Linked DNA regions of Caenorhabditis elegans. The protein of the gene in region 2 purifies or fractionates together with the protein of the main gene of each other region. This does not show direct contact. Each region holds a gene or a part of one and is shown on either strand. Other genes may lie near its edges. The genes, in order: lbp-4 and hrg-7.

Region 1 (6,346 bases), 4.9 Mb from region 2:
TTTCTAGAGTGGACCGTGTTGAAGATTTAGATTTAGATTTTTCCTGAAAGTGAAGAACGTCTCTTTGAAGACTATAGGAAAATTATCAGCAGTGGCAGAAACTACTTGCCCAAATTAGGCCCGAAAAATATAAACTTCTTTCGGAAATTTGAAATGCTTTGATTTGAAAAGGCAACACTTTATTTAGATCGCGATTTACTTCTTGAACATCTTTTTGGCAAAAAATTTGATTTTTGATTCTTAAAAAAATTAATCATGAATAAATCACAAATCAAATTTCACCGTTCTCACAACATGTTGAATCGTTTTTACCAAAACTTCAATTTGTTTATGTTTATTTTCACCTGATTAAATTTCTTTCAACACGTACAGGGATAAGGAAAGAAGATCAAACTAGAGCTATGATTAAAAAAAAGTCTTGCCCAACTATTGTTCAAGTTTTCCAACTTCTAAATCTGGTAAAAAAATAGTTATTGAGCCACATTAGGAAATAAAGTAACTAAATCTTGTAGTCCTAATACATGCATATCTAGGGTTGCGTAAAACCAGTTGAAAGAAGCAAACTTGGAAAATGAGGCACAAAAATGACCAGAAAAAATCTCTAAAAGTTTTCTGAAAATTCTTTCGAGTAACTGCGAAGTCTTGTAGGAATTGGAGCCCTGAAGCTAATATGCATTTGAACAGAAGTGGAGATAATAGTTAGCTTTAAAAATTGCAAAGATGAACCTACCGATGTAGTATGTTTTTCCAAATAATATTTAAAAACCATTAATTTATTTTAGCTACAGTTTTTTTTTCCTAGATTTTTTGTTCACTATTTTGATGCTTTTTACATTGAATATCTAGATGTTTATTGAAACAATTATAGAAATTTCGACAAAATCGAGCGTACGGTATCTGAAAATTGTCTCTCGTTCTAGGACCTGGAAAAATTGTTTTTTTTTGCAACCAGGCGATAAATGCAACCTATAAAGTAAAAACCGGATAAAACCGGATGATCAGAGGAAATTTTCCAAATTGTTCTACGAAATCTTCTGAAAGATCAAAGAATTCTTCAGCACTACTCACACATATGTTTTGAAATCAAAACCGCCATCAATCGCATTTATCAAAAAGTGTCACAACAGCAAGAGCACATTCGAATGAGCATTTCAATGAGTTACACGTGTCATTTCGTCTCTTCTTGCTCTTCACATCAGCAGCTATCACTTTTCCAATCACATTCCAACGTGGCGGAATGATGAGTCAGTGTGAATGAAGTAGATGAAGACAGATACCAGAGGAGCAACAAGAGAGATCGCAATTATTTATGGAGGTGACAGGCGCGAGCAGGCGGCCCAAAATCCCCTCACCAACCTTTCGCAGATTAATGAGGAAGGAGAGGATGGAAAGAAGTTGTAAGTCTCCTCTCGTCCGCCAGAAGGATGGACTTTCTTTTTGCAACACAGGGCCACTTGGTGTCTTTGGATGCCACACAAAGTCGACAATTCATCGAAAAATAGAAACACAAAAAAAGTGAGAGGGAGGGGGGTCATTGGCGTCTTGAGATTGTTCCAGAAGACTTTTGTTGATTTAAAATAAACAAACGAAAAATCGGTGGTTCAGAAAATTTGATCAATAATCCTGCCGGAGAAATTCTGAAATACTCTGATAAACTGAAAATGGTTGTTTTCAAATTTGTGACCTTTAAAAACCCGGAAACCTTCAAGAAAATATAGAAATATGGTCGAGGTCCTGCGACGACCGATACTTTCTACCGTAGGCGCGAATACGGTAGATTTTCTTGATAATTTTCGTCATTGAATTATCGATTTTTTGTGTTTCTAGGTAAATATTGTACGTGGTTTTTATATTTTGTTAATAAATTTAAAATTTTCAAATACCATAATATATTGACAAAACTCTGAAAATATTCTGAAAATATTCTTATGCCCAGAAATTGTGTGATTTTGTGTCAAAAAAGGTACGCGGTCTCGACACGGCTAATTTTTGTAAAATGTGAAGAGTACTGTAATTCCTAAACATTTATTTAAGCGGAATTTGTACCGATTTTTCATAATTTTTCACTCATCATATGATGATATTATTATATTTCAGTATTTGATAAGTAAATAAATAACTATTTTATCGAAAAACTATTAAAAATCGATGAAAATTCCGTAGCAACAAGTTCGAAATTACAGTACTCTTCGAAGGCGCACATCTTTTTGGATTTAACAAAAATATTTCGTGCCTAGACCGGGTACCGTATTCTAGCTTTTTAAAAAAATTTAAATTCGCAATATTTTCGTCAAGGACGTTTTTCTGCGAACTTTTGCCGTGATTAATTATTTCAAAAACAGATAATGTTCTGATTTTGATTATTTTCTATATTTTTTGTTCAATTTCGTTTTTCAAGTGTAATCAGAATTGTGTTCCGAGTGTAACCACAGTTGACCGGGTCAACACAAAAAGTGCGCGCATCTCACATCGTAAAGCCTGTCTGGCGATCGGAGACGGCTGGCACTTTGCCAGAAAAGTTGATCCGTTTGTTGCGGTAAACATTCAAGAACACGCCACATTCAATTTCAATGACATCATTTCTGAACATCTGCTTTTTAAAGTGTTGAGTGCAAAACCACAGAAGGAACAGCTGAAACTTTTCATCAAAAACTTAAACAATTATGCAAACCCTCAATGTAAAATTAACAAAAAAGGCACAGCAATAAATAATCACAATAATATAAATAAGGTTTAACTATTAACAGAGAAGCATCAAATCAACATTCAGATCACTTCTGCTCGACTCTCTTGAACCAACGGCGACAGACGATTCCATTATTCTCCATTCTCATCACCAGTTGATTTTGATCGTCGATAGTGTAGAAATAAGTCTCTGCGCTGGTTTCTGGTTCATTCAGGCGAATATGATGCTCCGAAAGGATTTCATCTTTGAAGTCGAAAGTGATCTGAAATTGGAAATTGTTTTAATTAATTATTTAAATAATTTTCGTTCTCACCTCATGTTGATTTCCATCCAATCCAGGAGCTTCGAATTTTTTTCCAAGTTCCCATGCCTGATAGTTGGTGTTCTTTTTTGAAGTTAGATTTTCCATGTTGTACCTGGAATAGGCAAGATGAACTGAATGTTTTCGTGGTCTCTAGACGAAAACATGAAAAATTTATGACAAAGATTTCCTCCACCACTTGGAAATGCCAAAGAAGCATGTGACATATTTATTTTAAAAATTTCACGTATTTCCAATTTTAGAGTTGACAGTTGTAAATTCTAAAAATTAAAAATTTCGTTAAAAAAGTTTTTCACCAGATAAAAAGTTATGGTTATTTTCAGTTAAAAAAAATTATTAATTGAACTCACTTCCCAGCTTCTTGATTTTGTGAGATAATTTTAGTGAGTCCAGCCAACTTGATCATTTGCCGTACGAACCAGTTGACACCTTTCGAGGAGAGAAATTCATCAAAATTCTCGCTTTTATCGAGCTGATAACGGCCAAAGAACTTGTCTGGCACTGACATTTTCCTTTTCTGAAAACTTTTTTAATGATGCAAATTAAATAAACGGGGAAAAAATTGAAATAAATGAAAGAACGAATTAAATTGAACGGTAACAATAATTAGGTGTCGGTGGAGCGCGATTGCGTCTGTATTAAGTCACCACAGACTAATGGAAAATAGATTCCGAGGAAACATATTTGTGAAAATTTTATAAGTGAAAATAAAGTTCAGGTCAATTTTGAAATGGAACTAACGATTTTAGAAAAGAAAAATCGCCATTTCCCTTTCTTAAGTCAACTGTTCTGTATTTTTCTTAATTTAGCGTTCGTGCCAAGACCATAAAATGCGACCCATTTAAACTATTATTAGTAGAAGATGAAAATAAACTGCAAAATAAAAAATATACTTGCAAATGAACTAGATAATGAAAAGTTCAGCTGAAATTCCAGATTTATATTCCCAAAAAAATCTCCATTTCCACATGCCACATTCGTTTCATGTCTTATTTATTCACGAGTATGCGTTTTTGTTTTCCTGTGGGCACTCAATAAACACGGAAAATCAACGAAAAACAGAGGTATAATCGAAGTTGACACGTAGGAGCTCGCTTGGCACCTCGCCAAATATTCTCTCCGTTTTTCCGTCATTCATTTGCTTATTTTGGCGCCTTTTTTCCTACTTTCCGCTTCTATTTGCCCATTTTTCAGCTGCAAAAATTAAGATGGGATGAATGTTATGAGGCGAGAGCCATAGAAAAGCCGCCTTTAGTGCAAACACACATACATACTTTAATCAGATTGGTCAGACTTTTCGAAATGATCAAATGCCGAAAAAGCAGAGACGCAGATAGGCGGGGCGGAGCTATTCACAACTTTTCGGGTTTTCTTTTTCTTTGAGCTCCCTCATTTCAGGAAGATGAAAAGAGCATCTCTTGTGTTTGAAGATTTTATGTTTTGCTGCCTTGTTTTATTTTAAAGATCACGCGAACTCAAAATAATTTGTGCGAACGCTGTGTTGCAAAAATATTTACGAAAATCGCTATTGTTGAGCAATAATATAAATATCGTATTTCCTCTATTAGTATTGCACTCTACTACTCAACTTTGAAACGTTATAACTCAATTCTTTCAAAAGATGTAGTATATATTATTAACTACGAAATGACAGAAAAAGATCTAACAAATATTTTGTTAGTTGACAATTTTTGAATAGAACAAACAATAACTGATATTTAAGTTGTCAAAGTTGAACAATGGGATGCAATACAAATAGAGGAAATACGATATTTAAACTAGTAACTTTGTTTTTTAAATAAAATTTTAAATAATCGAGAAAGTTTGCTCTAATTCCCGCGCTGCCCTAACAAAATGGAAAGATTCATAGAATATATAATTCCACTCACTGATCTTCTTCCCTACTTCACAGAAGCTAGTTAGTAAAGCATGAAGATATCAAATTTCATTTCCATAACAAGTTTTTCGAGAAGCAAGCGAAGACTGCATAAACTTTTAGTTTTGTAGTCGTTATGTTTTATGACGTGTATTGCCACGTGATTTCTTTTCAGTTTAAAACTGTATTGCTCCTTTTATGTTCGGATAGAATTTTTAGTACCAAGGCGTAGCCTAGAAGAAAAAAAAAGAAAATTCGGCCACCCTAAAAATTCTCAAAAATGAGTTTTTTTCTCCGTTTTCCCAATGCTGAAAAAAGTAATTGTTTCCAAAATCCCTTTTCAGACTTTTCATAAGGCTTAATTTCTTCAGAATTTCAGTACTTTTGAAAAAACCAAGTACGGTTAATTAGAAAATTAACAAAAGTTCTTACTTTAAGAGACTGTCGAGGTTTCTCATTTCCAATAATTTCTCCTTGTAAAAAATTGTATACTTCCTGATTTGGTAATTGAAATATTCAATATTATAACAAATTTCCTACGTTCACCCCAAAAAACAAAAAATAATAATTTCAGTTGTTTTTCTCATATTCATCATTAATATTTTCCATTCATTCATCGCTTTTTCTCTTTTTTCTTCTTCTCAATTTCTTCCCCACGGATGGGGCATTTATGAAGTAGATGTCGTTTGACAAAAACACGGAAAACTCTTCTTTTTTCTTTTCCAATATCTCTTTTGCTTTGAAATTTCGAATTTTTTGGTATTTGTCACTCAACACATAAAATATTCACTTCTTTGGAATTTTAGATGAAAGCTCACTGGCTTAGTGAGAACAATGGGACACCGTTTAGTTGAAAAAGAAAACTCTGCTCTGATCTATTAGGTTGCTGTTTTTTTTTCAGGAAATACATCAAATTTTGGCGCGAAAGTTTGAAACTTGTACCTTGGAAATGATCTGGTATTTTCAAATTTTTGCTAAATATCAAAAAGAAAAGTGTACCCGGAAGAGAAAAGTTCTTCGAAACATTGATGTAATTTTTAAAGGGCTTCTTGGGATTTAATTATAGGAACAATTTTGGATGAAAAAAAACTAGAATTTTGTAAACTTCTAAAAAGATCAAAAAATTGCTAGAATTATTTTTATAAGTAACGGCATTCAATTTTTTTTAAAAAGCTAAACTTGCAACTTGTTAATAAACTGAATTTGTGAAGTTTTTCAACGTAATAATTTAAAAAAAGGAAACACAAGTCTGTTTAGAGCTCGGTCGTTGATTTTTTTTGCAAGTAGATAAAGGCTAAAATTCAAAAAAATATTACTAAATTTTTACAACGTGATGGCCAAAAATTGAATTTGTTTATTGAAATTTGGGCATGTTTAGTATGAAATTGTTTCACAAAAAAACACAAATAAAAACACACAAAAAATCTTGGTGATTTTCAAACTTTTCAGTTAAACTTTTTTT
Region 2 (7,675 bases):
AAACAGTTCTACAACCCCAGCTGCAAATGTTACAAATGCAGATGTCATCTCCAATGCCACGTGGCATCGATATCTGCAAAGCTCTTCGAGGATTCATGTTAATGGTCACGAGAAGTGGAAAAATACTTCATGTTTCCGATAATGCAAGCGAGTACCTGGGACATTCAGTTGAAGAGATTATGTGTCAGGGAGATTCAATTTATGATTTGGTGGATGGGAGAGATCATGGTGCTGTACAGGCAGAACTTGCAAGTGGACCTCCAGGAGCTGCAACTTTTCCGGAGGAAAGAGTATTCATATGTCGATTGAATTTGGCAAGAACTGCAAAACGACAGTTACAGTATCATAAAGTAAGAATTAACTTCATTTAGAATACTATCATTTTTTTCGAAGTCATGCTAACTTTGCATTGGGGACATGCCAAATGCCAAAAATATGTTATTTCAAAGCAAAAATTGGGATTTTCAGTTCGTCCTATTCCAAGGTCGATATATTCAACCTGCCGAATTTTATCAACAATTGAATGCTCAAAACTCTCAACCTGATTGTGATCAGCCAGTTTTCTCGGCTTATTGTCAACCTCTTATAAATCCAGAAAATGCTGAAGGAATGTCCACTGGAAATACACATGTGTTTAGTACTCAACATTATTTGGATATGAAATTTAAGGAAGCCGATACAATGTAAGCATGAAAAATGTTAAAAACTTGAATTTTATTATTGATCAATTTCAGGGCCTCTCAACATTTGGGATTCAGTAAAGAGCAATTGAAAGGAATGTCTTGGTACGGAATGATTCATCCTAATCATGTACCCGAAATTGCTCATAAACATCGATTATGTATGTTTTAAGATACTGTGTGAAATACTTTTACATAATTTTTTTCAGTATGTCAAGAGAAAGAAGGGTCAGTTCTTGCATTAATTCGATTACAAGCTGCAAATGGAGAATGGATATGGTTGCATACAGTATTCTCAATTCGACCAAATAATGAGTTGAATAGTGATGGAAAAAGACTTCGTCATGTTATACACTGCTTCCATCAGAAACTTACGTAAGTTTTATGAACGCGAAAATAGTTTAAGACTTTTTCCCGTCCAAAACCACTCCACATATCAACAAAAATGTAAAAAAAATATGTTTTTTTTTACTTTTCTATTTACTATGAGTTCTATACACTCATAACTTTGGAAATCCTTAAGAACAATTTTTTCTAAGATTTCGTATTTTTATAATTATGCTTTATCTATTATGTTGTAAACGTTGTACATAGACATCTCAAACATTCGAGATCGTTCTAAACTGCTCAAAATTTGGAATATTACCAAAACTTCGGCAGAAATGTCTCTAAAATTTAATATGATTTGAAGGTTATTAGTATTATATTGAGTGGGTTAAGTTACATGATTATTAGAGTATTTACAGAAAAGCTCCTTCAAAGATTTACAAATATTCCGTAACTCCAAGCTAGACCCTACAATTAAATTTTTCAGTGATCTGGAAGCTGCGACTCTTCAAGCGAATTCCTGGATCTACAGCATGCGACACACTTACCCAACAGTTTTTTCATGTCAAGATTCTCCACCACCATCCGAAGAACAACAACCATCAAGTCCGCAAACTCCACCATTCACTGAGCAGCCGCCAATGCTCGTTGAGCAGAAGCCTCTTATTGGAGCAGGAATCGCACCAGGTTTTCCGTCATTGGATTACAATCAGGTGATTAGAACGTAAAACTTCGATTTAATTTTAACTTTATGAACTTTCAGATAAAAGTGGAAATTCCAATGCGTCCAATCAATACTCAAATTCCATTATTTACCCCCGAGTCATCATCACCGGAGAGTTCTGCATCCCTTCATACATCTTTACTTCCTCATCATAATGCATTCCCATTAGACATTCTTGAAGACATTTTACCTTCAAATGACGTGCTCCCAGAGCTTAAAGATGAAGTGGACGAAATTCTTCGGCAAGTTGAGCAATCTCCAGCAACATCCCCAGCTCATTCATTTCCTTCAAATGTTAATTTTGGTCATCGTCATTCTATGCCAAATGCATTTGATTCCGCCGAATTGTACAAATATCTAGGACCAGCACTATTTGATGGAAATTTTGCAATGCAACATCAACACCACCTCCAACAACAGCATCAATCCCAACCGAATCATCCTCTTCAAATGACTCCAATTCCTCCCATGTCATGTCCTCCATCAAATTACGGACAATCAAACTTTCTATTCCATCATCAACATCTCAATCAACACCTACATCATTCCCAACCTCCGCATCCTTACCATTTTGATTATTACAACCGAAAACGAAGTTGGGCTGTATAAAATAATTGAAAATTAGTACTCTAGTATCTCATTTCATTCCATTACTCAAATTTATCTCTTATATTTATTTCCATTATAGACTTTTCAATTGATGTCTTTCATTTTCATTCATTATCAGTATTTATCCGGGTAGATTTACAAGAGCTTTCACATATTGACTATATCATTCTTTCAATTTTATAATTCTCCTCTTTGTAAGTTTTAATAAATATTTTATTGTTTTTTATTCCACAAGATAAAGCATTACTGAAAAAATTTACAATACTTCAAAAATAATTATTTATTGAATTTTAGTCTCCAGGTTTAATCAATCAAATAATTCTCGTCAAAATAGCCTTCGAAATAAGTTGTATTGCAGTAAAAACGTATGATTTTATCTAGAGACAAAAAAATATTTCCAACGGTCAAACGAACCTTTCAAATGATGATCTGAATTTTTTTCAGTTCATTTTTTTTATGGAATCCAAGCTCCTTTTAAAAAAAAGCAGGCCACTTATGTTTATTATCCTTCGGCACCAATAGATTATTTTGAAGTAATTTTAAAACTTGACAAATCGGCACCATTTTTGGTTGAGAATTTTCGGGTCAGAACTTTGAAGGAATCCGAGGTAAGATCTGCTCTAAATGTGTGTGGTAAGCTAGCCTAAATTAAAGTTAGTTTCAGATGATATTCAATTCGTTTTGACGTTTGAGACTACCTTGACTACCATTCCTTGTTCGAATAATTGCGTACATAAATAAAAGCATTAAAACTGACAAAATTGTGCTAAACACAACAAAAACATGACAAACTTCAACGAATCACAAAGCACAGTTTATCAATCCGGGTTCAATTCTGAAAAGAAATCGGCGAACTTCAACATCAAGCCGCCCATAAGAGACATAATATGATAGTCATTAGTTGCATCATATGTCTGCTCCTCCTATCTCATACTATATATTCCAATGCCGAACTGATAGTGCCGAAAAGAAGTGAGTTTTCCATTTAATTTTTCGCTGCAGTTTTGTTTTCGTCAACCAGTTTCAATTAATTCAAGCTATATAATACATTTACAGGTTAAATTAGGGGAAAAAAGTTGGAAGCCATGAAGACGTTTATTGCATTGTTAGCTCTCTTGACTGTGGTCTCTGCAGAAGTCCACCAATTTAATATTGGGTAAGTTTTACTGATTAATTGAGCTCAATTTTCCATTATTAGATACCGACCAAACATGCGTCAACGTATGAATGCCAAAGGAAAATTGGCAGAATATGAAAAGGAACGCAACGAACTTCTGTCAAAGAAGAGCCTTCAATTGGCATCATCCTCGTCCCCAGTTATTGATTATGAGGATATGGCATACATGGTTCAAATTAGTTTAGGAAGCCCAGCTCAGAACTTTGTTCTTTTTATCGATTCTGGTTCTTCTAACTTGTGGGTCCCAGATATCACATGTGCTGGAGGAAAAGATGCCACTTGTGGAAGTTACTGTAAATCTGTGAGTTTAATAACTCAAAGAATCGAATGCATTATCCAATATTTCAGACTCCATATGATGCTTGTTTGACTTTCTGTCAAGAGGAATGCTGTACCAAAACCGTTGAAGGAGTTAAAGTTCTTTCGTATGCATCATTCTCTGTTCAGCTATAGCATTAGGTATTTTGCAGAACCACTGACGCTTGCCAGTCTAAGCATCGGTTCAATTCATCTCTCTCATCATCATATGTGACCAATGGACAAAAGTTTGATATGACTTATAACACTGGAGAAGTGAAGGGATTCTTTGGAGTTGATACTTTCTGTGTAAGTTTTCTCTTTTTAGATTGTTTTAGATTTCTCTCTCTCTCTCTCTCTCTCTCTCTCTCTCTCTCGTCAATTTGAATTTATTCATTTTCCACTCCCCAAATCAACGATATTTTAGTTCACTAACACATCCGTCTGTGCCACTGGCCAAGTTTTCGGACAAGCCACCACAATCGGAGAAGCTTTTGCAAAACAACCAGAAGATGGAATCATTGGTCTTGGATGGCCTGCTCTAGCCGTAAACCAACAAACTCCACCATTGTTCAATTTGATGAATCAAGGAAAACTTGATCAACCATACTTTGTCGTATATCTTGCCAACATTGGTCCAACTTCCCAAATCAATGGAGGAGCATTCACCGTTGGAGGTCTCGATACAACTCATTGTAGTTCTAATGTCGACTGGGTTCCACTATCCACTCAAACTTTCTGGCAGTTTAAGCTCGGAGGGTAAGATATTTTTTACCTTGATAAACAAAACTATCTTAATTACTTTTCCAGAGTATCATCTGGGTCATACAGTCAAGCTCCAAACTCTGGATGGCAAGCAGCTGCTGATACAGCTGCATCATTCATCGGAGCACCAAAGAGTGTTGTTACCAGTCTTGCCAAGGCGTGAGTTTAGCAATACGCTGTAGACCGTTTAGTATCTCTAAATCCTATAGCTTTGCCCCAACAAATTTAGTCACGGCCGTATTAATTTACGCATCTGATTTTTTCAGAGAACTTTACAGTTATTAGATATTGTGATTTCGCGAAAATTTGACATTTCAGTTTAAAGGTGCAAGCTGTTTTTTTGAGTGGGTCTCGCCACGATCTCAGTGATAGTGTGCCAAATTTAAACTATTTGTTTTCTTTGTGTTGAAAATGAAATTTACAAAATTTCAAAGCCTGAAGTGTACATAAAAAGTTGGAATTTATCATAAAACTTTTAGCACGAAGCCCGTTCTGGGTTACTGTAGATTTTCAAAAAATAGTTATTCAGTGAGAATTTGCACTATTTCATAAATAAAATAATGCGTTGTGTGAAAAACTGTTAAAATTTATATAAATATCATTTCAGAGTTGGAGCCACATATGTTCCACTTACGGGTGCATTCTTCATGGATTGTGACGCTGTTGTCCCAGATATTGTATTCACAATTAACGGAAAAACATATAATATGCCATCAACATCATTCGTTGTATCTGCTGGACCTGGGCCATGCATGTTTGCATTTTATGAGTTAACTGCTGGAGGATTCTATCCAGCTTGGATGCTCGGACCACCTTTTATGCGTGCCTATTGCCACGTACATGACATGAAGAGCGGAAGACTTGGCCTTGCAAAGGTTCTCTAAATCCAATGAATCTCACATCAACGAATAATAAATTCTAAAATTTAATAAAAACTTTACAATCAAAACAATTTATTTTGAAATGAAATAATTTTTCGAAACATTTTCGAAATTATGGTGGTAGTTGTACTTACTGCATATGAAGAATGGAGGGAAACGGGGATTTGAAATACAAGTACATATGTACAAATGGTTTGCCAATTAAGATGGAAAATGAAAACAACAAGATAATGCTCTTTGGGAAAGAGATAAAAACAACATAGATAAATTAACACTTAGCAAAGAAAAGAAAAGTGAAAAAGTAATAAAATGATACAGATTGAATTTTTGAGCTCTCAATTCGAGAGACTGGAGAGAACATGTGTGATGTGGCCACTCTCACCAGCAAGGCACTTTAGACACACTTTTTGCACCGGTGTCATCTTTTGCTTCTTGTCTGAAAACAAATACATTATTAGAATTTCTAATAAAACCATAATTTTTTTTAAATTTGAACTTTTTATTCACCAATTGGTGACACACTTTTTGAAATACTATCTTGTAAAATTAATTTTCGAAATGATGGAGAACCCACCTATAAAAGAAGTAGAAAAAAACCTATGAATATTTGGTAAATTTGAGATTTTTGGTGAAAATGAGTATTTTTTCCAAAATATTAAACTGCCATTAATTTTTTCCAGAAATTCCCAGAATGTCTTATTACGAAATTTGGTAGTTTTTGGCTATTTCGGATTTAAAAAAGAATAGTCTTAGATTTCGGTAACTCTAATGATTACTGTAGTTTTTTGAAAATAGTTTTAATGAAAAAAAAATTGAGCTTACCAAGAAGTGGATCTTGTGGTTTAACCGTGTAGACGTTGGTTCTGTCAGTGAGCTGTTGTTGAGTGGCAACACTTTCCGAAGCGACACGCTTACGGCCGAATTGCGACAGAAGACGATCGAACATCTGGAAATTTGATTTTCAAAAAAGAAGAAGGCACACAACAGATGGCAACATGAAAATGTTTAAAAAATGAAAGTGATAAGAATAAGATATTGGAAAGGCGTCTGCTTAATGATAACGCATGAAGAGAACAAATAAATGGAGCACTGATATCACATACTTTTCAAGATTTTTATACGTATAACCTTGGGGGCGGGGTTGGGTGCTGGAGGGTTTCAGATGATCACAATAAAATTAGATACAGCACCATGAATTCTATCACAATTGAAATACAAAAAAAGACCGAAAGTACAAAATTATCACAATCTGAAGTAGCTTACGAACAAAATATACACGTGACAAGAGAAGAACAATGGAGAAAAATAGAAGAATTATAAAATCAAACGACGTCTGTAATTATCATTATTATGGCCAAAAATGCAGGTAGAAATGAGCTCTCATTATGATATGATACGATAGGTGACATGATTAGATTGCATGAAGAATCACAAGGGTTTCTAGAGTTCTCTATGGATAATTATTTTCTCTTCTATATATTTTTCGAGTTTCCGCGCTTTTCGATTCAGTTTTTCATGTTTGATACTTAGCTCCAAGTTTTCATAAACTTGAGATTTATCCTTTCCACGTTCTTCTGCATCTTCTTGAAGGCGAGATACTTCCTCCTGAATAGAAATTGAATTAAATTTTCGATTGCAATTTTTTAATCAACGAGGAATTTTGAGAACGTTATTATTTTTTCAGTGTTTATTTGTTTTTCCTTTGTTATAATATTGTGTTTTTGATTAAAAACCCAATAGGAAAACAGTAAAATATGGAATTAAACAGTTTGATTTTAGGTCGATAAACAATTTTGAGGACGAATCAAAAATGACTACGTTATCAGTCTTGGCATAAAAGTTTATTTTGGAAGAGGGGTGAAAATTTGACTGATTAATTCCTTAGAACTATTCATATCGTTAAGAAATTCAGATTATAGAAAATGGTCTGGAATGGCCAAATGTAACCATTAATAAATTTTTTCAATTTCGCAAAAATTTTATAAAAAGAAAATAATTTTTGAATTCCTGCGAAAGCGAATGACCAAAATTAAACATTTTCGGGATTTTTCTTGATTTTGCTCTTTAAAATTAAGTTTGAAATACGTTTGCCAATTTTTCAGACAGGTTTTCCAAAAAAATGTTTATGTGAAATATCGTTTATTTTGAAGTTTCAGCGAATGTCTTTCGGGCATTAAATTTTTTTAAACGAAAATAACGTTTTATAAATTGACAA

What was found.
Region 1: the proteins of hrg-7 (region 2) and lbp-4 fractionate together in Caenorhabditis elegans (co-fractionation; one large-scale study listed by BioGRID). This does not show direct contact.

The regions. Positions count from the first base shown.
Region 1 is NC_003283.11:7,817,757-7,824,102, reverse strand, and holds lbp-4 (Fatty acid-binding protein homolog 4), read right to left. Parts: upstream 3,526-6,346; 5' UTR 3,517-3,525; coding exon 3,359-3,516; intron 3,103-3,358; coding exon 3,000-3,102; intron 2,949-2,999; coding exon 2,772-2,948; 3' UTR 2,626-2,771; downstream 1-2,625.
Region 2 is NC_003283.11:12,738,645-12,746,319, forward strand, and holds hrg-7 (Aspartic protease 10), read left to right. Parts: upstream 1-3,396; 5' UTR 3,397-3,425; coding exon 3,426-3,496; intron 3,497-3,538; coding exon 3,539-3,818; intron 3,819-3,865; coding exon 3,866-3,942; intron 3,943-3,987; coding exon 3,988-4,123; intron 4,124-4,241; coding exon 4,242-4,573; intron 4,574-4,624; coding exon 4,625-4,738; intron 4,739-5,186; coding exon 5,187-5,463; 3' UTR 5,464-5,527; downstream 5,528-7,675. Other genes in the region: PAS domain-containing protein cky-1, read left to right, coding at 1-350, 469-683, 735-841, 890-1,055, 1,495-1,720, 1,771-2,340; C15C8.7 (uncharacterized protein), read right to left, coding at 5,796-5,896, 6,283-6,406; C15C8.4 (Alpha-2-macroglobulin RAP C-terminal domain-containing protein), read right to left, coding at 6,901-7,065. UniProt on the Caenorhabditis elegans protein: Aspartic protease which plays a role in heme homeostasis and mediates inter-organ signaling between the intestine and extra-intestinal tissues when cellular heme levels are low.